4 linked regions of the Drosophila melanogaster genome follow. The protein of the gene in region 1 purifies or fractionates together with the protein of each later gene. This does not show direct contact. Each region holds a gene or a part of one and is shown in the gene's direction. Other genes may lie near its edges. The genes, in order: Parp1, Hrb98DE, Parg and Argk1.

The links.
Region 2: the proteins of Parp1 (region 1) and Hrb98DE purify together in Drosophila melanogaster (affinity purification with western blotting; 2 studies listed by BioGRID, with this or other methods). This does not show direct contact.
Region 3: the proteins of Parp1 (region 1) and Parg purify together in Drosophila melanogaster (affinity purification with mass spectrometry, with the first as the bait; one study listed by BioGRID). This does not show direct contact.
Region 4: the proteins of Parp1 (region 1) and Argk1 purify together in Drosophila melanogaster (affinity purification with mass spectrometry, with the first as the bait; one study listed by BioGRID). This does not show direct contact.

The regions. Positions count from the first base shown.
Region 1 is NT_033777.3:3,584,049-3,588,839, reverse strand, and holds the start of Parp1 (Poly-(ADP-ribose) polymerase 1), read left to right. Parts: upstream 1-1,785; 5' UTR 1,786-1,860; coding exon 1,861-1,974; intron 1,975-3,329; coding exon 3,330-3,471; intron 3,472-3,526; coding exon 3,527-3,860; intron 3,861-4,791. UniProt on the Drosophila melanogaster protein: Poly-ADP-ribosyltransferase that mediates poly-ADP-ribosylation of proteins and plays a key role in DNA repair.
Region 2 is NT_033777.3:28,598,549-28,606,277, forward strand, and holds Hrb98DE (heterogeneous nuclear ribonucleoprotein at 98DE), read left to right. Parts: upstream 1-1,858; 5' UTR 1,859-1,969; coding exon 1,970-2,020; intron 2,021-2,157; coding exon 2,158-2,647; intron 2,648-2,980; exon of another isoform or gene 2,981-3,120; intron 3,121-3,149; exon of another isoform or gene 3,150-3,299; intron 3,300-3,328; exon of another isoform or gene 3,329-3,468; intron 3,469-3,598; exon of another isoform or gene 3,599-3,738; intron 3,739-3,791; exon of another isoform or gene 3,792-3,941; intron 3,942-4,007; exon of another isoform or gene 4,008-4,147; intron 4,148-4,223; coding exon 4,224-4,399; intron 4,400-4,463; coding exon 4,464-4,770; intron 4,771-4,822; exon of another isoform or gene 4,823-4,974; intron 4,975-5,059; coding exon 5,060-5,133; 3' UTR 5,134-5,150; intron 5,151-5,512; exon of another isoform or gene 5,513-6,547; intron 6,548-6,913; 3' UTR 6,914-7,229; downstream 7,230-7,729. Other genes in the region: Noa36, read right to left, coding at 1-89, 182-673; CG9986 (uncharacterized protein), read left to right, coding at 7,620-7,729. UniProt on the Drosophila melanogaster protein: This protein is a component of ribonucleosomes.
Region 3 is NC_004354.4:3,668,322-3,673,242, reverse strand, and holds Parg (Poly(ADP-ribose) glycohydrolase), read left to right. Parts: upstream 1-1,740; 5' UTR 1,741-1,875; coding exon 1,876-2,588; intron 2,589-2,655; coding exon 2,656-4,114; 3' UTR 4,115-4,406; downstream 4,407-4,921. Other genes in the region: Ilp7 (Insulin-like peptide 7), read right to left, coding at 4,539-4,708, 4,831-4,921.
Region 4 is NT_037436.4:9,062,989-9,067,875, reverse strand, and holds the start of Argk1 (arginine kinase 1), read left to right. Parts: upstream 1-1,848; 5' UTR 1,849-2,168; intron 2,169-3,358; 5' UTR 3,359-3,368; coding exon 3,369-3,412; intron 3,413-4,887.

The DNA.
Region 1 (4,791 bases):
ATCACAAAAATAAATTTCAAAAATGACTTTATATAAGAATATTTGTCATTAGAGTATTCATCTTGCGGCGTGTGAAAAATTAATAAGGCAATGATTGTTGAGTGCTTGTGTCCGCACTTCGTGCCTCAAGATATGAACAAAGCAAAGACACTAGAATAATTCTAGTGTCTTTGATGTGACTTTTGCAATAAACAGTTTTCATATTTTTATTTATTTTACAAATTTGTATTTTCTACTTCGTATTATTTTTATGAAATATTTATTTCTCGATGTAATGTATTCCTTTTGTTATAAGTAGTTATAATAATTTATATTTTACTTCCTTTAATTATTTAGCATACTTATTAAGTCATTTGACTTAATATGATTTATATATGATAATGATCCATTTTTATTATTTAAAATGCACATTAGATTCAGTTGTTTTTCAGTATGTTATTTAAATAACTGACGACTGAAAAATCGAGCAGTATATAATAAAAAACAATAGTTAGAAAAATAACTTAATTGGGGAATGTGGAAATGTTTTAATGTTAAACATTAAAATATTTCAAGTCGACTCGAAGGTCATATACGTAAATATAAGACCCCATTACAATTGTAATGGCCTCCCCGTGGTGTTCCCTGGGTACCGACTATTACACATATTACACATAAATAATTATCAACATAAATATAAATATGTAAACGGTAGCTAATTCGAGCGGCGATTTTAACAAACGAATTTAAAAAGCTTTAAAATTAAAAAATTTTAAAATTAAAATTAAAATTTTAAAATTATAATAAGAAGGGCGCGAATTTTTAAAAATTATTTTATTTCATCATATTGCTACGAAATTGGCAAAAAACTACCCTAATATGTACAATGTAAATTCATTTCTTTGATCAGAATTGATTTCGGCCCGAAAATCGTCTTCTAGCACAACACGCACACATATACGCGTTCTCGTCTCTTGTTTTTACTCACACAAGCAAGCAAATTCTATTTTTAGATTTCTTATGTTCTCAGCGTGAGCGAGCGGAAAGAGAGCAATTTTGGCCGTCACCAAAAAAGTGGCTGCATAGTGCCAAACCAATGTATGGCCGTTACGCATCTTGTTATTCTAGTGTCTTTGCCAAAACTAATGGTTGGGGGAGTGGCATATCCATAAGTCCATTAGACTTAAGCACATGCCTACACACAGCTTCTTATTATAGAAGAACAACACTAGTAAACCAAAAGCAATCCTGACTGGAATAAGCCCAAAGTCGTATACAGGATGATAATCGAAAACTTTATTTTAAGATTTCAATAAACAAAGTCGTGAGGATCTAAGAGCGTTTGTATCCAATAGCGAATGAACTCGAGTCCAAGAGAAATGCAAAGACAAATCAATGTTAGTAACTCCAAAGCTCTGTTTATTTCATTGGAACTCCAAAATCCAAAGCCCATATTTATAAAGCTCGAGGCCGAGGATTCAAAGTCAATCAATCCATATCAATTTGTTGAGTTCAGTTTCAGACCTTAATTAAAACGGTCGGTGTTATTATTCAGTAAGAACATAATTACCATTCCTTCTTAATCTTCCAAATGACCACCCTTTCTTGTTAAACTAGCTGGTGTATAATCGACACAGAATTTTAATGTTGCCGAATTCAATTACAAAGTTATATAGTTAACAGTCGTACGTCTTATAACAGAATACAGCTTAATTACGGAATGAGCTCCTGTACAAGGTCTTTAGAATCATTGGAAATCGTCTATAATAATATTTTTGTAGTCTTTAACATCGATATACAATTTTATTATTTAGGAAAATATCGCCAACATAATTCGATAAATAATAAATGTCTTGAAATTGACTTCCTTTAAAGTGTAATATGGATATTGAATTACCTTATCTTGCTGAGTATGCAAGAACTGGACGAGCCACTTGCAAAGGATGTAAAAGTACTATATCTAAAGATACTCTTCGGATTGCTGTCATGGTTCAAGTAAGTTACTATGTGGTACATACATACGTAAGTAGTCTGCAGATAAAAGATTGAAAATGAATTTGATTAAACTGATACTGATTTACGAAACTTTAAAAGATCCCGATTCGCCGTTAGTCCCATCGGTCGTCGACAGCTGCGGCATGTAATTGCCAGCGGTAAATCGTGTAGCGGTGGGGGCACAAATACTTGCGTCGCTCACCCACAGGGTGCCAGTGGCTTGCTGCAGTTCTCTGGCCCAGTGTGCGTGTGGCAATGCGTGCGGCCGAAGAAACGAAAACAGGTCCTCAAACATCACGTGAAATCGAAACTAGCGGGAACGACAGCGGGACTGACATTGGTACTGACAGTGGGACCGACATTGGGACCGACAGTGGGTCCGACATTGGGACCGACAGTGGGACCGACAGCGGGACTGACGGTGAGACCGACAGCGGGACTGACGGTGGGACCGACAGTGGGACTGACAGCGGGACCGACAGTGGGACCGACAGCGGGACTGACGTGGGACCGACAGTGGGATTAACAGTGGGACCGACAGCGGGACTGACAGTCGGACCAACAGTGGGACTGACAGTGGGACCGACAGCGGGACCGACAGTGGGACCGACCCTTCATTTCTTCTACCGTCACGCTTCAACCTATAAAAATGTTGCTTGTGAGTCGCTCACCCAAAGGGTTATTTCGCAGCAGGCGAAACACTCGGATATTTTTTATTGCCGAAAGTAGAGTGTCAAAAAACACCCGGGGGTATAGACACCCAGTTGGTGGGTGCGGGTGTACTAAGAGTGCCAGTGGCTTGCTGCAGTTCTGTGGTTGGGGCCGCAAAAATTGTAAGACCAGCTGAATTTTCGCCATGTCCTCACATGGTGATGATCGTTCTGAAACAAACTTTCACAGAGCGAAACATGAATACTAGCTTTTATAGTTTTCGAGATCATAGCTTTCATACAAAAGGACAAGGCCAATCAAGAATACCATGTCCGTCTGTCTGTCCGTATGAACGTCGAGATATCAGGAACTATAAAATCTAGAAGGTTGAGATTTAGCATACAGATTCTAGAGACATAGATGCAGCATGACCCATGTTGCCACGGCAACTCTAACGCCCACAAACCGCACAAAACTGCAACGCCAACCCTTTTGAAAAACGTGTTGATATTTTTTTTTTTCATTTTTATTAGTTCTGTAAATTTCTATCGACTTGCCACGCCCACTTTAAAGCCCTAAAATTGCACAAAACTGCCACGCACACACTTTTGAAAAATCGTTTTATTATTATTTTTTAATTGAAACGGTTACACCAAACGAACGAAAGACAAAGAAACTATTTTATTGTATTTCTTATTTTTTAGTCTGCATTTCATGATGCCAAAGTTCCGAATTGGTTTCATAAAACCTGCTTTTTTAAAAACCAGCGTCCCAGCTCAGTAGGAGACATACAAAACATTGGAAATCTCCGATTTGCCGATCAAAAGGAATTAACGGATCTTGTGGGTTAGTATTTAAAATTGATCTATATCAATTTAAAAACATTTTGAAATGTACTTAGAAAATATACAAGAAGTTATAAGCGCACAATTAGGAAAAAAGCGATCGAAGGCTTTTAACTTAGCATTAAAAGACTTTGGGATTGAATATGCAAAATCTAGTCGATCGACGTGTCGTGGATGTGAACAAAAAATAAACAAGGATCTAGTTCGCTTACGTAAAACTGTTTATGATACTGAAGTTGGTATGAAGTACGGAGGCCAACCTTTGTGGCATCATTTGGAATGCTTCGCCCAATTGCGCTCTGAGCTTGGCTGGTTTGCGTCAGGTGAAGATATGCCAGGATTTCAGAGCTTAGCAGATGATGATCAAGCGAAAGTTAAAAACGCCATACCGTAAGTTAATCTCACATTGAATTTCTATTAACTGTTCTGTAACTGTTCTGCATTGCTATTATTAAGTTATCCCTCTTAAAGAAAATAAGCTTGATTATACTGAAGATTGTAAACTGAAATAGATAACTGTAATTTGATCCACTAAGTATTCTGATCTCTTCTTGGTCATTCCTTAGTTGGGGATGCCCTTCAACTATATAGGTACAATAGTGTATATTCTTTGTTAAAAAATATTTATCAGGTAAAGGCAACATTTCCGGCACTAAAAAAATTAAATAATCGATCCCACCCTAAAAGATAAGACTCGAATTGTCCATGTCCGTATGAACGATGTGATTGTGGGAACTATAAAACTGGGTTGCGATTAAACATGCAGATCCGAGTGAAGCGGGCATATCAAAAGTTTTTTGACAATTGTAGATTGTAGAGGAAATCAACTATAACTTCGCCTGTAGTTTGTCGAAAAGTCAAGTGAATTTAACAATGTTATTTAATATATGTAAGTCGACCTTAATCGATGGGCATTGGTTGTATCGCCGCAGGAAAATAATGTAACTATTTTTCGCTATATTTAGGCTGGGTCGTGATTATTTGAGCGTAAATGTAACAGCTGAGTTAAAATTATACTGGAAAGGTACATACACTAGTGGGCATAAGTATTTAGACACCATTAGCTTGAAACTGCCGGGCTTTTCATAGTACAGTCAAATAAATAAGTAAACTATTGATGATAAAACAAAAAGTGCAATTACAGTTACACACGAAGGGTAAGTTTGGCTGTTTACCTTTTCAATTATCCTTGTGCTTATAAGAAAGCTAGACAGGCAACGATTTGGGCCGTGGCAAAAGTATTTAGACACATTTAATTAGTTCGCATTGATCTGTTGTTCGAAGAATATCAAATTTTCGACTTTTTTTTTAGATCATTTGA
Region 2 (7,729 bases), about 25 Mb from region 1:
TCCTCGCAGTAACAGGTCTTGCAGCGCAGGCAGGAGTATTGACCCAGCTTGTTGCACGATTGACACTTGTAGTTCTCCGACTCCAGCACCTGGAACCGAATGGATTGCATTACCAAAAGGCGTCATATGAATCTCAAAATGAAGTTCGGAACAAGCTTAATGAGTATTTTTGGTTACCCACCTGACAGCTGGCCTGGTGCTCGAACTGATCGTCCTCGCACAGGAATCCGTTGCAGAAGGAGCACTTGAAGATGCGCCCACCGTGCTCCCAGACACCGCGTTCGCACTCCAGGCAGGTCGCATTCTGCAGCGGACACGTGCAGGCGTGGTTTTGGAGACACTTGCGTCCGTGGCAAACCCAAGCCTCGCAGAAGTCGCAGATGGCGCCCACCATTCCGAGGCCCGTGGTGTAGACGCCCGGATGTTTGACCACGCAGTCGCCGGTCTTTAGCATGCACTTGATTTTCCCGCACTGGGCGCAAATGGGTAATCTCTGAATGCTCTGGCAGAAATAGCAGAAGGCTCTCGACTTCTGCTTCTTCTCGCACTTGTCGCACTCCATTGGTGCATTGCAGGGCAAATCCGCAAGAGGCACCTCTCTGCTGCGGATCTCCTTGAGGCGAAGCTTCTGCTTCTCGGCCTTCTTACGCTGCCCAGTCTTCTTTTTCGGCATTTTTGAAATCAAGGAATTAGAAAACTTATTTCCTTACGTGTGCGGCAGTGTGGCTGCTGCGGGTGCGCCGAAAAATACCACAAAAAGCTTTCGAATATTCCGCTAAATATGTAGCTACATCTTGAAAATAGCTACAAAAAATGCGTTAAATTAGCATCGTGGAGTTAGCGGCGACGGCGGAGCCGAGTAATTTAACACATCATTTTTCTGGCCAGCGTGCATTTTGGAATATGCTCTGCGAGTGGAGATATTCCTTGAAAAGTAGCTAGCCGATTTTTTTATTGCATATTTTATATACTTTCTGAGTCCTATAAACTTTAGTCGTACATAGATAGTTAGATCTCTTAAATAGTTCGATTTATTAAGATTTTTGCATTTGTATTTTTTTTGGAATTTACCTATAAATAGCGAAAAATTAAATAAATAAATAAGATTCTCATTTTCCATATTTCACCGTTCTGCCATAGACGCTAATTTGACCCACATAGATTTTCAGTGGAAACAAGTGGAAGCAACAACCGATTAGTGTAACCAAATACCTTTGCTTTTATTTAGGTCTAGTATTTTTGTAAGGTCTGTCTACGGCTTTCCTTTCCACAGGAAAATATATTTTCAGTTTTAGGGAAGGGGTGCTACAGTGAGCGTCTTTCGTTCCCAGTGTCGTTATTTCTATAGTATTGCTGAGATATATATCAGAGCAGTAAAGATATTTAAATATAAGTTCTTCGAAATGGGTGGTCACGACAACTGGAACAATGGTCAAAATGAGGAGCAAGATGTAAGTAGCACACAAAACCGCGACTGCACAGGGAAAAAACTCAGTTCGGCCATAATCCCAATATATATATATTTTGGTGATCAACGCGCTTTTACCCATGCGGCAACTAAAGTTGATGTGCTAAAGCATTTCGTTGCGGTTTTGTTACTTAAGACTAAGACTAACAGTAGTTGTATCTTAATAGTGCTAGGGAGTACGATGCTGTCGGTATTGGTTTCTCTTTTAGCTTTTTAGTGCAAAAGGCGTGATCAAGAATACACATGTTACACACATTTTTTAAGGCATGGTGAAAAGAAACAGGGCAGATATTGTAAAAGTATTGTATTGACAAGGGTGTCTGTCAACTTATCGTTATCGTTCTAGGTAGTATCGAATAGGTGCTGGGTTTAATCGGGTTGTAGAAACGGTCACACTGTATTCAGTTTTTTCATTCGTCTCGTGTGTCAGGGGACTTTCTCCATTTGCAATAGCAAAAAAAATAGTTAGATTAGAAGTTGTTCAACTTTTGCATTAGTAAAATGGTGAACTCGAACCAGAACCAGAACGGCAACTCCAATGGCCATGATGATGTAAGTAGTGGATATTAAGGGTCTAGAAATTTCCTGTAAGCTGGTGTCTCGCCTTGCCGGTCGCCATTTTGAAAATTACGCATGTGTCTCAAGGGCGGAAAGTGAGGTTATGGCCATTGATAAAATCAATAATTTAGGACTTTCCTCAGGACTCCATCACCGAGCCGGAGCATATGCGCAAGCTGTTCATCGGTGGCTTGGACTACCGTACCACCGACGAGAACCTAAAGGCTCACTTCGAGAAATGGGGCAACATCGTGGACGTGGTGGTCATGAAGGATCCGCGCACAAAGCGTTCCCGCGGATTCGGATTCATCACCTATTCCCACTCGAGCATGATTGATGAGGCCCAAAAGTCGCGTCCCCACAAGATCGACGGTCGAGTGGTGGAGCCCAAGCGCGCCGTTCCCCGTCAGGACATTGATTCCCCGAATGCCGGAGCCACCGTAAAGAAACTCTTTGTTGGCGCCCTCAAGGACGACCATGATGAGCAGAGCATCCGCGACTACTTCCAGCACTTTGGCAACATCGTCGACATCAACATAGTCATTGACAAGGAGACTGGCAAGAAACGCGGATTCGCCTTCGTCGAGTTCGACGACTACGATCCCGTGGACAAAGTTGTGTGTAAGTACAACGCTTTTCCTAATCTAGACAATATCAAATATCCTTTAAGAATGATTTATCTCTTCGAGAGTAGACTGTTAGGAAAATCACATTGCCATGTTCTTAGATTTATACAATACAGATTGAATTATCTGCACAGGAAACGAATATTAACCCCATTTGTGTACGCGGCGTTCGTGTAGAAAAAAAGTATGACATGCAACCACCCCTAATCTATATGCTCAATCAGCTCTGGCACATTGTAGGGCTTCTCGTAAATGTCCATCAGCGTCGGATAAACGAATGCGCACTATAAGCAAGAAATTTCGATAAAATTGCAATTATTACAATATATCCACAGTCCCAGCTCCGCATAGCAATGTTCGATGTGCTTGTGCGGCGTTTGTGACTGTAAGAATAAATTCCAGCCAGTATTATATCATTGTTGTTGGTGCTCTTCGTGCATCAACGATGAAAGAGTATATGGCACACTATAGCTTGAATCTAAAACTGTTTCCTAATATCACAGTACTGACAAATTAACTGGTTTGAAACCATCACCAGGGTAGTTTTTTTTTAAACGCTGTGAGATGAATTAAAGCGTCGGCTAAGCTATGTTATGCGAATGTAAGCATTGCGCCTATTCAGTGTAACACGCAGCCTCGTTACAATAGTTCAATTAATTGCTATTATGGAAATCGATACACAGTCCCAGCTCCGCATAGCAATGTTCGATGTGCTCATGCGGCGTTTGTGACTGTAAGATAAAAGACCCAGCCCATATTATATCGTGTTGTTGGCGCTGTTCGTGCATCAACGATGAAAGAGTATAAGGCACAATATCACATTGAATTACCAACTATATGAAAAGAATGAGTATCTAAATGCCTTCGCTTACTTGAATATACTGACAAATCCACAGAATGGTGAATGTTATTTAGCGTGAATATATCTCCTAAAATTAGCTACGATTCCACAGTCCCAGCTCCGCACAGCAATGTTCGATGTGCTCGTGCGGCGTTTGTGACTGTTAGAATAAATTCCAGCCAGTATTATATCATTGTTGTTGGTGCTCTTCGTGCATCAACGATGAAAGAGTATAAGGCACACCTTGATTATCGAACCGATTAAACAGAAAGTTTCTAGATCAGCCCCTTCGTGGACGTCACAGTACTGACAAATTGACGGGCTTGAAAAAGTCGCCTGTATGGTTTTTATTTAAACGCTGTGAGATTAATTTAAGCGTCGGCTAAGCTATGTGATGCGAATGTATATTATAAATCAATTCTGTGTAACACGCAGCCTCGTTACAACTGCAAATCAAATGCACCGAAATGGTGAATGTGTACTATCCGATATCGATCCTAATTTTAGCTAAAATTCCACAGTCCCAGCTCCGCATAGCAATGTTCGATGTGCTCGTGCGGCGTTTGTGACTGTAAGATGAAATCCCAGCCAGTATTATATTGTTGTTGTTGGTGGTGTTTGTGCACCAATGATGAAAGAGTATATGGCACACTATCCTCCGGATGCACCACATAGGGAAGTTCATTTTCGAATACCACTAATAGCATGCTTTCCCTCTTTATTTTTGCAGTGCAAAAGCAGCATCAGCTGAATGGCAAAATGGTGGACGTAAAGAAGGCCTTGCCCAAGCAGAATGACCAACAGGGAGGTGGCGGAGGACGCGGTGGTCCGGGTGGTCGTGCCGGTGGAAACCGCGGAAACATGGGCGGTGGAAACTACGGCAACCAGAATGGTGGCGGCAACTGGGTAAGAACTTATTGATCGCCATCAATTCGATTTGAGGCTTATTACTGGTTAATTGGCATTGCAGAACAACGGTGGCAACAACTGGGGCAACAACCGCGGGGGTAACGACAACTGGGGCAACAACAGCTTCGGTGGTGGCGGCGGCGGCGGTGGTGGTTATGGCGGTGGCAACAACAGCTGGGGCAATAACAATCCGTGGGACAATGGCAATGGAGGCGGCAACTTTGGAGGCGGCGGCAACAATTGGAACAATGGTGGCAATGATTTTGGAGGCTACCAGCAGAACTATGGCGGCGGTCCGCAGCGAGGTGGCGGCAACTTCAACAACAATCGCATGCAGCCCTACCAAGGAGGTGGTGGATTCAAAGCAGGTGAGCAACAGCACGTCTGTTGATGCATTACTGATAACAACTAGATAGCAAGACACAGTACCCTGACACCTAACTGTTAGAGCGTCGATAGAGTTTGGCAGTTAGCTTATTAAACGCTGTGAGATCAACTGACGATGGCCTTCGCTATGTTATGCGTATGTAAGATAATCCCAGTACGACGTAACACGCAGCCACGTTACAGTTTTTTCATGAACAGTCACCACCAGTATAGAAACTAGACTAGAAAGACGATTGGATATGTTCCTAACGATCCTGGGTTTTCTTTTAGGCGGTGGCAATCAAGGCAACTATGGCGGAAACAATCAGGGCTTCAATAACGGTGGCAACAACCGCAGATATTGAGAGAGATTCCGGACGAGGTGAGACATCCAAATAACCACTACTAACACAAAAATATACATAGTCCAAGGCGAATTCAGGCCATAACTAACCGCTTATCTATCCCGTATGACCATTAATCTTTCGCTTGATTTGACAAACATATGTTGTGTGTTTTTTTTTTTTTATAATAGCGCCCTTATCGGCATTTTTGGTAGTTTATAAAGCATATTGAGACTAAAAAGCAAAACGGCTGAGACAGTCCGACCCACCTTACTCAACAAACTTATATACGTATTTACACTTTTAAGTATTTAGAGAACAAAAACCCATCAACCAATTAAGAACTCCTTTTCATACCAATTGTTTTAAATAACGTTTCTCATTTATCGACATTTTATAGGTGATAAAGTAAAAGTCGCTCAGTATAATCCCAAAATTCAAAGTCAAGTAAACGATACGCAATTCAATGATCAATATGATGAAGTATGAACGCACGTTCATAGTCCTAAGAAGTTTTCCGAGCACCACAAACCAAACATTACAGATTGATTGATCAGGATCAGTGCAGTGCAGTGAAGTCGTAAGAAGTTTGGTTCAGTCTTGGATTAGAACAGAAAGAGAGATCAGTACCAAGCAAGACCAGACCAATACAGAGTGCAGTGCAGTGCAGAGCAGTGTGTGAGCTAAACAGAAGAAACACAGCAAGTGGCAGTACACGTACACAGAAGGTGACCAGGATTCCATTCAATTTGTCTTTGCAAGCGATGATAAATTGAATGTCAAGAGGCGCATCGAAAACTATCCAATACCCACAGAATTGTAATCTATAATTTGCAACCCATATGTAGCAGCCCATATAAGTAACATTGTAATTAGATCCACAAAGCCGACGACAGGCCAAACATTTGTATCTCCACCACACGAGCAACCAACCAACCAACCTACTTAAAACAACCAGTCATAAACGAATCAGCTATGTAAAACTTCAAGGCGGCAGCCGAGAGATATGTTTCTTTGGTTGCAGACAGCTCTCCAGTCCATCGGCTGCCGGCAACTTTTGATAATCAGAGCAGAAAACACAAAATATATAAAAACATGTATTACATTTTACAACTTTACTAGGCTAAGTTCTCATAGAATTAAATCGAGTAGAGCGTGCGGAGCGACTTCTGCATCCATCCGCACGCTACCCTAGTCTTAATAATTTTACTATTCAAGTTCTAAGCGAACCTGACCGTGTGTGGAGGAATCTAGATACTTAGATTTTTGAATAAGTGTCGACATGGATATAACCTCTTCCGCTGCTTAGATGTAACCGATCAACAAACAACCTTTATTGTAATTTATACCTTTTAGCAAGCAGTCTGTCTGAGGAGTCAGCGCAATTATACTTAACAAAATTTACATTTTAATGTAGCTAAAAAATACAAGATGCAAAAAAAAAAAATAAGCAAGTGTCCCGCAATTGATGTAAACTCTGACGAAAGAACAAAAAGTATATAGCTAAGCCAAAGCCTCGTAGTTTTCTATATTTCTGTAGCAGCATCAGCAAAAGGATCTCGATCAGAATGAGAGTGTATTGCAGAGGTAACAAGGTGCAGCAAGTCTGACCAGGTCCAAAAGCCAGCCAAGAATATGTACTTTACTATAGCATTTGTTGTGGGCGGGCCATTAACGTCGTTCGAGAGTTCTCCTTTCACTCGCTTAACAGGAATCATTTTCCCCTTTTATTTGATTTGCCCCCCGCCTGCTGTACCATGTCATTTACAACCATGTATATTATTGTAATTTCTGTTGCCAGTTGGCTGCGAAAAGTATGCGAAGCGCTGAAAGACTGCCGCCGCGCTACTGAATGCAGCCACGGAAGGTGCCCGCGTTTGCTAGCAACTCCGGTCGCTGGGTTTCGGTTCCCTCTGGGTAAGTAATCCTCCGCAGATCCCAAATCCGGAAAAAGTTGTAACTTTCAGGTGGTCTGAATCGGCTCGTCGCACCTGAGGATGGAATGGATGTTGAACGGTTTCCCCTCTGCACCATCGTAAATATACGACTTTTATTTATTACTTCATTTTATTTTCATTATTACTATCTTTGAATAAAGAAATTTCAGAATACCAAACAAAATGATTTTCGTTTCATTTTGAATTAAAATTTCACCAGTGGGGGAAAATAACGGTATTTGAACAATAATGGCGTTGCGAATGTAACGTGATTGGCGTAAAATCGCAAATTCCGTTTTATATAGTTGAATGATTTTCAAAGCATTCATTTTGTTGCATTTAATGTTAAATTTTAATTAGTCCACTGAAAATAATAAATCATGATAAATGAGCACTGTGTCTGTCACTTTGTTGTTGGTTTGAGTCTTCTCTAAGTGGTGAATAAGTTTTCTGCGATATATTTAAGCGGTCGCAATACGGTCATACTAATTGCATTTCTTTTAGGCAGGGGGCGTTAACTTGCGAATTAATGACTATAACTAACTAAAACACCGACTAAGGACCTCTGAAATGGACTCTACTGCCACTCGCACGCTGCCCTTTGTGTACAAGTATAAAAATCATAAAGGCCAAGACTGCGAATCCCGGCTGGACATCACTTTTCCCTTTGACCAGGAAAA
Region 3 (4,921 bases), on another chromosome or scaffold:
AAATGAATTATTTCTTTAAAATCTGTATATTAATTAATAAAGAACAGAAATTTCCACAAATATGTAAATTGAATTTTCAAATTGGTTTGGTTCCCTCGTTTTGTTTAATTTCTGAAACTGACTCATGGAAGTGCAGTCTTCTGCTTCTTTCAGCTGTTGATTAGTATAAGTTCATGCTTTTGAGGTGACCTTGAAAAGTTTACTAACATCGCGTTTTCGTCGCTCGCTTTTTCCAAGCGATTATTCGGCTCTATGCATTTTTGTTGTTGCTTGTTTTTTTTGCCAACCCCCGAAACGCCACCCCCGATTATTCCTAGTATTTTCGCTGACGCAAATGAGAAAAGAGAAAGCTCTACATGTACAGTGCAGACTCCCATTGCGTTAAAGTTCATCAACGAAATCTAAATGCTCGGGATTTACACCTTTTTCTGAAAATTTATTTAGTAAAATAAATTTCACTTAATATCTGGTCTCTTTCTCTCTCTATCTCTTTATGTGAAAATCGATCGTTTAACTTATTGAGAGTTGACAGTACTTTTTTCGAGTATTTCTAGGTTATGGTCAAGGCGAAATCTAAGCAAATTTGAAGGCTACGCTCAGGTACGAAGAGCGATGAAGAGAAACGCCTCTTCTTTGTAGAATTCTACTGATAATTCGATTTTTGTTTTTGTGTTTTTTTTTTTTGCTTCTCCTTGCAAAGCTTTTTCGTTTGTTTACGCAAAAAGGAGAGAAAGAGATGGTGCAAACAAATTTCGCGGAGAGATAAAGGTGTGTTGAACTTTAGCAAAAGTACATTTCATAAATTATATTTATTTTGGTTTTTAGCTAGCTGTGAATTTGCTTTTGCGTTTTCCTCAGATGCAAGTGTGTGTGCAAATTATGTATGACCTTTTTTGTATTGTTTTTGCGACGCTTTCAAAACAAACAACTGCGCTCTCTCTCTCTCCCTCTCTCGCTCTCTTGTGTCCATTCTCAGAGTCTTTGCACGTGTATGCAGCGGTTTCTCTTCCTCTTTTCAACACGTAAGCTTGAGCAAAATACCACAATCACATAAATATATACATAGGTGCGAGTGACAGTGCCACATTAAGGGTTAAAAACTGAAAAAATTTGATTTGACCACTGACGTCAACGAAATAACATTTTCTTGCCAAACGTGATTATAAAAACATAAAACAGCAATTACTTTCCGCCGCTTCTTACCTTTTTGAGTATTAAATACATTTATAAAAGTTTCGCAGACGCCTTTAACTTGATTTTCCTTGGTAATATGCACTATTATTTTTACCGCACGAAGGACAGGAAAAAATCCTTTCACTTAACGTAAAACTTGGCGCTCGTTATGATAGTTTTACACTTTAAAAAAAAATTAGAGAAAATAGTTGACAAATTGCTGGAAGATTTGTTTTTTTTTTCTTTTTGTTTGTTGTTGTTCCTTCGGCGGTTATATTTGCAATTCGCATTGCAACGGACACAGTGTTGGTATTTCTCGTGCTGGTATTTAAATACTAGCGACAATGAGAGGTAAAATACCACATGTAATGGTCACACTTTCGCCCGCCGAATTCAAGGCAATGCAATTTTGAATTTGTTATTGATTCATTCTCAAACGAATACCAACATATATTTGAATATATTTCGATATATAAACGCTTCAATTCACTACGCTTCAATCGAAGTGTGTGGTATTTATAAAGTGCGATATTCATCACAGCTATCGCTCATCCCCAAAACACCGGTATGCAAGAATTCAGGTCACACTTGATTTTTCCGATATTCCAAAAGGTTTACCAATCTACGGCAAATCGCCGCAGAGCAAGTGCATCCGTGCTGACCAATCGACTCGGCAAGGCTTTGTGCTTAAACTGCGCCAGGATGTCGAAGTCGCCGGATGGCGGGATTTCCGAAATAGAAACGGAGGAGGAGCCGGAAAATCTGGCGAACTCCCTAGATGATTCGTGGCGTGGAGTTTCCATGGAGGCTATACATCGTAATCGGCAGCCTTTCGAATTGGAGAATTTGCCACCAGTGACTGCCGGCAATCTCCACCGGGTTATGTACCAGCTGCCAATTCGTGAAACACCGCCACGCCCCTACAAATCACCGGGAAAGTGGGACTCCGAGCATGTGCGTCTGCCCTGTGCGCCCGAGTCGAAATATCCGAGGGAGAATCCGGATGGCAGCACCACCATCGATTTTCGCTGGGAAATGATCGAACGAGCCCTTCTGCAGCCCATAAAGACGTGTGAGGAACTGCAGGCGGCGATAATATCATATAATACCACCTATAGGGATCAGTGGCACTTTCGTGCCCTTCATCAACTTCTCGACGAGGAACTGGACGAGAGCGAAACACGGGTTTTCTTCGAGGATCTATTGCCGCGCATTATCCGATTGGCATTGCGGCTACCGGACTTGATTCAATCGCCAGTTCCGCTGCTCAAGCACCACAAGAACGCCTCATTGAGCCTGAGCCAACAGCAGATCTCCTGCCTGTTGGCCAATGCCTTCCTGTGCACCTTTCCCCGGAGAAACACCCTCAAGAGGAAGTCCGAGTACAGCACTTTTCCAGACATCAACTTTAACAGGTGAGCGTCCACCAGATTCGTATATCTTCAGTCGAAGTATGTTAAATATATTCGATTCCATCAAAAGGCTTTACCAATCGACGGGACCGGCAGTTCTGGAGAAGCTTAAATGCATTATGCACTATTTTCGTCGCGTGTGTCCCACAGAGCGGGATGCCAGCAATGTGCCCACCGGTGTGGTAACCTTTGTTCGTCGGAGCGGATTGCCGGAACATCTGATCGACTGGAGCCAAAGTGCGGCGCCGTTGGGTGATGTGCCATTGCACGTGGATGCCGAGGGAACAATCGAGGATGAGGGCATTGGACTGCTGCAAGTAGACTTTGCCAACAAATATTTGGGTGGCGGTGTCTTGGGACATGGCTGCGTTCAGGAGGAGATACGCTTTGTTATCTGTCCGGAGCTATTGGTGGGTAAACTCTTTACGGAGTGTCTGCGACCATTCGAGGCCCTGGTGATGTTGGGCGCCGAAAGGTATAGTAACTATACGGGATATGCCGGAAGCTTCGAGTGGTCCGGCAACTTTGAGGATTCAACGCCAAGAGATAGCTCAGGTCGTCGACAAACGGCCATTGTGGCAATCGATGCCCTACATTTTGCCCAGTCACATCATCAATATCGCGAGGATCTCATGGAAAGGGAGCTGAACAAGGCGTACATTGGATTTGTTCACTGGATGGTGACGCCGCCACCGGGTGTGGCAACTGGTAACTGGGGTTGCGGCGCATTCGGCGGTGACTCCTATCTGAAAGCCCTGCTGCAACTTATGGTCTGCGCCCAGTTGGGCAGACCTTTGGCCTACTATACCTTTGGAAATGTGGAGTTTAGGGATGATTTTCATGAAATGTGGCTGTTGTTTCGAAATGACGGGACTACGGTGCAGCAGCTTTGGAGTATTTTAAGGTCGTACAGTAGGCTTATTAAGGAGAAGAGCTCCAAGGAGCCGCGTGAGAATAAGGCATCCAAAAAGAAGCTATATGATTTTATTAAAGAGGAACTTAAGAAGGTCAGAGATGTGCCCGGAGAGGGAGCATCCGCCGAAGCTGGAAGCTCTAGAGTAGCTGGATTAGGCGAAGGAAAATCAGAAACATCAGCGAAATCCTCGCCAGAACTCAACAAGCAACCCGCCCGACCGCAAATCACCATAACGCAACAAAGTACCGATCTATTGCCCGCGCAATTATCGCAAGATAACTCAAATTCTTCGGAAGATCAGGCCCTTCTTATGCTGTCGGACGATGAGGAGGCCAATGCCATGATGGAGGCCGCTAGTCTGGAGGCTAAAAGCAGCGTAGAAATAAGCAACAGCAGCACAACGTCCAAAACGAGCAGTACAGCCACGAAATCAATGGGTTCAGGTGGCCGCCAGTTGAGCCTGCTCGAGATGCTGGACACCCATTATGAAAAGGGTTCGGCCTCGAAGAGGCCACGAAAATCACCCAACTGCAGCAAGGCTGAGGGTTCAGCAAAGAGTCGTAAGGAGATCGATGTGACCGACAAGGACGAAAAGGACGATATTGTTGACTAGGTGATATTGCACTACAGGATTGTTACTGCCCCCAAAATTGAAGAGGTATAAAATGTATTGTAGATAACTTTAAGGACATATTTAGGGCATTTTAAAGTAGGATCATTGTAAGTCGAATAAAGTGAAATTTTTTTTTTTTTTTTAATTATACTATTCTAATCTGCAAAGACAATTTTACTGTTAAATTTGTATAACATTGATTGATTAATATAATTTGTTATATCATGCAAATCTAGCTTTTATTATGCGAAATTTGTAGTTAAAGCCAGTAAAGTTTCTTTTTATTTAACCGAAACCTTTTGTTTATTTTATTTGACCACAACAAGAACATCAACAACAACAACCACGAAAAAAAAAGCGAATATATATTTGTTTGTTCGTATATATATATATATATCTAAGCAGATCCAACGTCGATGGCCAATCAGTAGTGATTGCGTCGCTTGTTGGATGGACAATACTCGGCGTATTCCTCCCAGGTGCAGCCCGCCTTGGTGCAGCATTCGTTCGATATCGATGGAGTGTTTCCATCCGATCGACGACTTCGCAGAAACATGTTGGCATAGTTCACGTGCAGCCAGGTGGAGCCATCAGCTGGAAAGACAGCAGGTGGTATCATATCGATATCAATGGATCTATAGCATAGATGTACATGTGTACATCGCTTGAAATTCCAATCGTCTTTGGTTGGAATGGATTTCGATTCAACAACTTACGTTCCGTGGTTGTCTTCTTGATCCAAGCCTCATCATTGCCCGTCCTCTTTTTGTTGCGCCGTGTCAGTCGGTAAATGTCCTTCTCGCAGGC
Region 4 (4,887 bases), on another chromosome or scaffold:
TAAGAGCAAAAGTGAAGAAAGCTGTGATACAACAAGATCCAACAAAAAGGGCAAACGACAACCGACAACACACAAAGATAACACCAACACATTAAACTACAAAAACAACAGACAAGCCAATTCGAAACGTGTGCGACCAACAAAAGTATGTTAACAACCTTTCCGGAACTAAGAACCAGTATAAGTACCGACCGGACCATCTGAAATGAAATGGCCAACGAGAAGAATTCAAAATGAACTATAGGAGATCGGATCAGATCCAGTAGTAGCTAGCTTAGCGGGTTAACGAAGGACGAACGCGGGGGAACCAAAGTTTTGAACCGAAGTGTTTGAGTGAATCAACAGCGTGCGGAATTAGATTGATATTCCAGTCAGGATGAAAAGTGAAGATGAGAATGATTCAAATGTTAAATTATATATCGATATGTAGTAAAATAATACACATACAAAATGCACATAGCTTAAAATATATGAAAGCAAGCGTTTTATTCAAAGTCAATTTCCATTTGATTTGCAATGATTATGTTTTGTGCAAGATTTTAAAGCTTAATCAACCGAGGCCAACAGCAGTTTGTGTGGCATATGCAATATCATTACAATGTAAGACAACCAAGATATATAAACCAATTAAAGCGTAGCAAACAAAATGCATTCAATTGAAAAACCAATAAAAAATGTTTGAAACTTAAATCAAAATTGTGCTCCTAATTATTTACGGAAGGGGCTCGAAAGTTATCCTTTTCAAGTGCTTTAATCTTTATTTTCGTTGCATACTTCATGGGTTGTGTTATACAATATTTAGTGCTGTAGGCCGAAGGTAGCCGATTAAAAGTACATAATTCGTGATAATAAAAACTTTTTGTCAACAAAAACAGAACACCCACACTCGCAGGAACTTCCGCTGAGCAACGCAAGCGCTCCAGGATGTTTTCGAGCTTTTCTCAGTCCTTGAACTTTTGACCTTGTTTCTGGTCGCCTTTCTCGCTGCCGCGGTTATGTAAGCAGCTGTACGTATCATTATGCAACCTGGTCCACGGGATTCACGGACTCTGTGCGCTTGCCATTGCATCTTTGCCGTTGCAGTGGCTCTCAAACTGCAGAGTCTTCGGCGAGCGATAAGACCCCAATCATCATCACCCAGGCCAATTAAGTGGGCTTTGCAAAATAGATAGCGCTGTTGAATGAATGACTGAACAGTACGCTCGAGTTTATTATCTGGATTTATTTGCCCACGACAGACAACCGGCGAAAGGCGTCAGCAGCGCTTTTTCGACCAAATTTGATAGTTTTGGCCTGGGCCAAACGCTGCAGTAAGCAAAATAAATAGTAAACATTGAACTGATAGTGCCAATTGGAAAAGTGACTCGTCCAGTGCCCAAAAACTGTTTCCGAAAATTCTTTTCTTTTATTGATTAGGCAGCCTTTTGACCAGGTTCAACGCGATTATTGACACATAGCGGTGGCATAGCGTAAGCCTATGAGTAACATTCCGAATCGGAGAGTACACGGAAATAAATATTGAAATCGTGCACAGAGAAAAATAATTAATTAGTTACAGAAAATTCATAGATTTACTATTAGTTATTACTACATTGAAATATCTACATTTAATTATTTGCTAGTGTCCTCTAATAAATATGTATATCCTTTATAGTAGTTAACTCTGAACCCTCTCTGTTGGAATCTGATTAAAGTCTTCTAAGTTTTTTTCGGGTGTACCTGGCACAGAACCCGTGGGTTCGTTGGGAAACGAATCTCGTGAGAAAAGCTTCGTCGCAAGTGCAGCCACAGCTAGGAAACATTGGCGTCGGCGCTCTCCGTGCTCCCCATTCTCTTTGGGGCTCTCTCAGTTGGATGCCGTCGTAGCCGTAGTCTCGTCGCTTTTGCCGCCAGTAGAGCAGTCGATTTTCGCACGGAGCACGACAGTCGAAAAAAACTTGAAAGAAGCATTCAACAGCAGAAGAGTGCCAGTCGAGAGAAAATTAATTTTGTACCTTTACTCAAAATCAAACAACACACAATCGAGACCAGTCCTCGATATTTGACCAGCTGTGAAGCATTTAAACGAAACGAACCTTTTGATATACGAAAAAATCGAACGGAAAACCCTCCGGAAAAGCACTTGCAACTTTTTCTAGTCGTTTTATTATCCAACACAGGCACAAAAGGTGAGTGCACGCAGAAGGGGTCATGCTGCAAGTCCCCAGTTGTTTGTTATGTGTGGCATGCTGCAACAGTGAATGAGTGTTATGGGAATGAGTGTTCTTAGGCACCACCACCCACCCATTTTCCACGCCCCAGCCACCCACTCATACGTTTGCCGTGCGATGTGACGTAACTGTCAGAGTCTGAGTGTGCTATTACCATCGCAGATTGCTCATACGCCGCGTGTGCAAAAGAAAACAAACGCAGACGGAGCTTCATGGTGAATTTTGCTTGCCTTTGCTCAAATCCGAGGGATAAACAAAGCTCAGGGGACTGCAAACAGTGCGCAAAATAATCATATTTAATTGATCGATGGCAGCACTATCTAAATTTAGAACCCTTTCGACCATTGGGCGCCATCCGGTGCACAAAAAGTTCCCCTTTTTCCGAATTGATCTGCAGTGCACAGAGGAAAATTTGCAATTTGTTTGCTTGTGAGAATACATATTAAATGTTATGACATATCTTAAAAATAAACTTTGCAAACCAAATACTAGGCAGGTGCCTCAAATATTTCATATAAAGAAACTTTCATTTATAACTTTTTAATTGAGGCAAACTTTAATAATGTTGGCGTTAGTAGGCTTCAATTGGGGAGGAGTTTAAATAAGAAATTCAGAAATTCAGAAATCAAATTTATGACAAAACATTTTCATTTTCCCATTTATGAGGTTTTTTCTGTGTACTGTTTCCCATCTCTGGCCGTTTGCCCAAAAGTCTCGACTTCACGTGCCTCGGCGCTCAGCGTTCTGCGAATTTGGCATTCTGCATTTTGCATTTGCAAACCCATGCGCGCTTTTGTTTATAAATAAACCTTGAATAATGCCGGCATATATTCACTGCTGTCTTTTCGCCTGTTCAACTGTTTTTTTATCTGTGTGCCTTGGGTCTTAATTGAGCTCTGGCTCTCTGGAACTTACTTTTCTGATGAGCGCCTCGCTCGATTGAGTTTTTTTTTTTTGCATTGCTTGACGGCGACGTCATTTGTTGCGCTTTTCGAGGTCGCTGGGTGAATCAGATTCAGTGCCAGTCCAACAAGTGCATGTGGTGTGGAAATTGCCATTTATAGTCCAATTAATTCGTATACATTAGCGGTCAAATTGCTTTGAAAATCACTTAACTATTTACTCATTCGATCTTCTCTCAATTTCAGCTAATACAAAATGTTCGCTTTGTGGTATTTAACTTTTGCTGTCGATGAAATACGGTAAGTGCAAAAGGGGTTTTCCACAGTTTGGCAAGCACTGCTGTGCCCCCCACAGGGCGGATGAACGTTTTGTGTTGCCTACTTTTCGGCTGGGTAGTGTTAATGGTGAATTGTAGTTTGGGGGCGTAATGAGATCCTTTTTGGAGTTAAGCTTAAAAATATTCTGCAATTCAGAAAAAGGTCTAAGTACGTTTTAAATGAAAAGTTTCTGGTATGTGATTCGAGCTTTGGGGGATTGGGTAATACAAATAAATTTACTGGCTTTTAATGGTTATGCAATGCTAATAACAACACCTTCACCAAGCAAAGCTACTTTCTTGCATTTCATAAATCTTGGCGATAACAGTAGTCGCACTTTTGGGACGCAATCATTGCAAACCCGATAATCTTATCGCTATCAGTTGTTGAATTAGACCAATTTAGCTCTACGTTTCCGTGATCGTTATGGTTCGAAGGTGCTAATGCGACTGTGTGTATAATTTTCCTGCATTTGGCAAGAAAGTTAGTCACCGAGCGGTGTCACATGATGAACTATCTGTCCGTTTTCCCATCTCCCACTCCCCCGATCTCGTCGAATACCCCAGCCCATAACAACCGGCTTTTGTGGCTCTAACTCTCATTCGTGATAAGTGCAATCGGCTGATCGCACACATTCAAACATTCTCTGATTTGCACATGTGCAAAACAAAATTCGCATTTTTTTGGCAAAAAAATAAAGAAAAAAGCGTCCAGTTGTTATCTGCCGGCAATTAGCGTAATAACAAAAGTGATAATTGAAGTTTGGAGCGGTATTAGTTTTTTTCGTTCTCATCCATACAGCCGGCATTTGGGGCCGGTATTTTGCCGATTTGCCGATTTTATGCCGGGTGGAGCTCGTTTGTTTGCTTATCAATTTGCCGCACGAGTTTTTCGTCAGCTATTGCCGTTTTGGCCTACGTGACAAGAGAAATGACGACGCCGGCCCAAAGAAATGGGGGAGTGGAGAAAGTAATTTCGTAACTGGGGAAATGGGTGGGAAATAAGAAATTGTGGTTACAGTTCTAAATTACTGCCATTTGTGGGCATTAAAGCACTGAAACATTTGCGTCTAAGCAACACGCCCACCAATAGGCTAACGCCTTTTGGCAAAGTACAATAAATAACTGGCTCTATTTTGTTTTCTTATCTATAGGGCATTATAAAAGAACTATGATTAACTCTATAACAAAAGCTAGAAAGTGCAGTATTTTCATACTTTTCAAATTTAAATCAATTTCAAAAACCAGGGCTGCCTTAGATCCTTCCAGTGTGACTCTACGAACTACTAAAAGGCTTCATTTACTTTTAATTATATTAAAATGCATATGATTTACTGCAATTACTGCATATTGAAAAATCGTTATTTGCGACTATATTTGTTTTCAAATATTTATCGAAATGTTATGGAGTATAGGGATACACCAATGATTTACAAGGGCTGTCAAAGTTTTCAATGC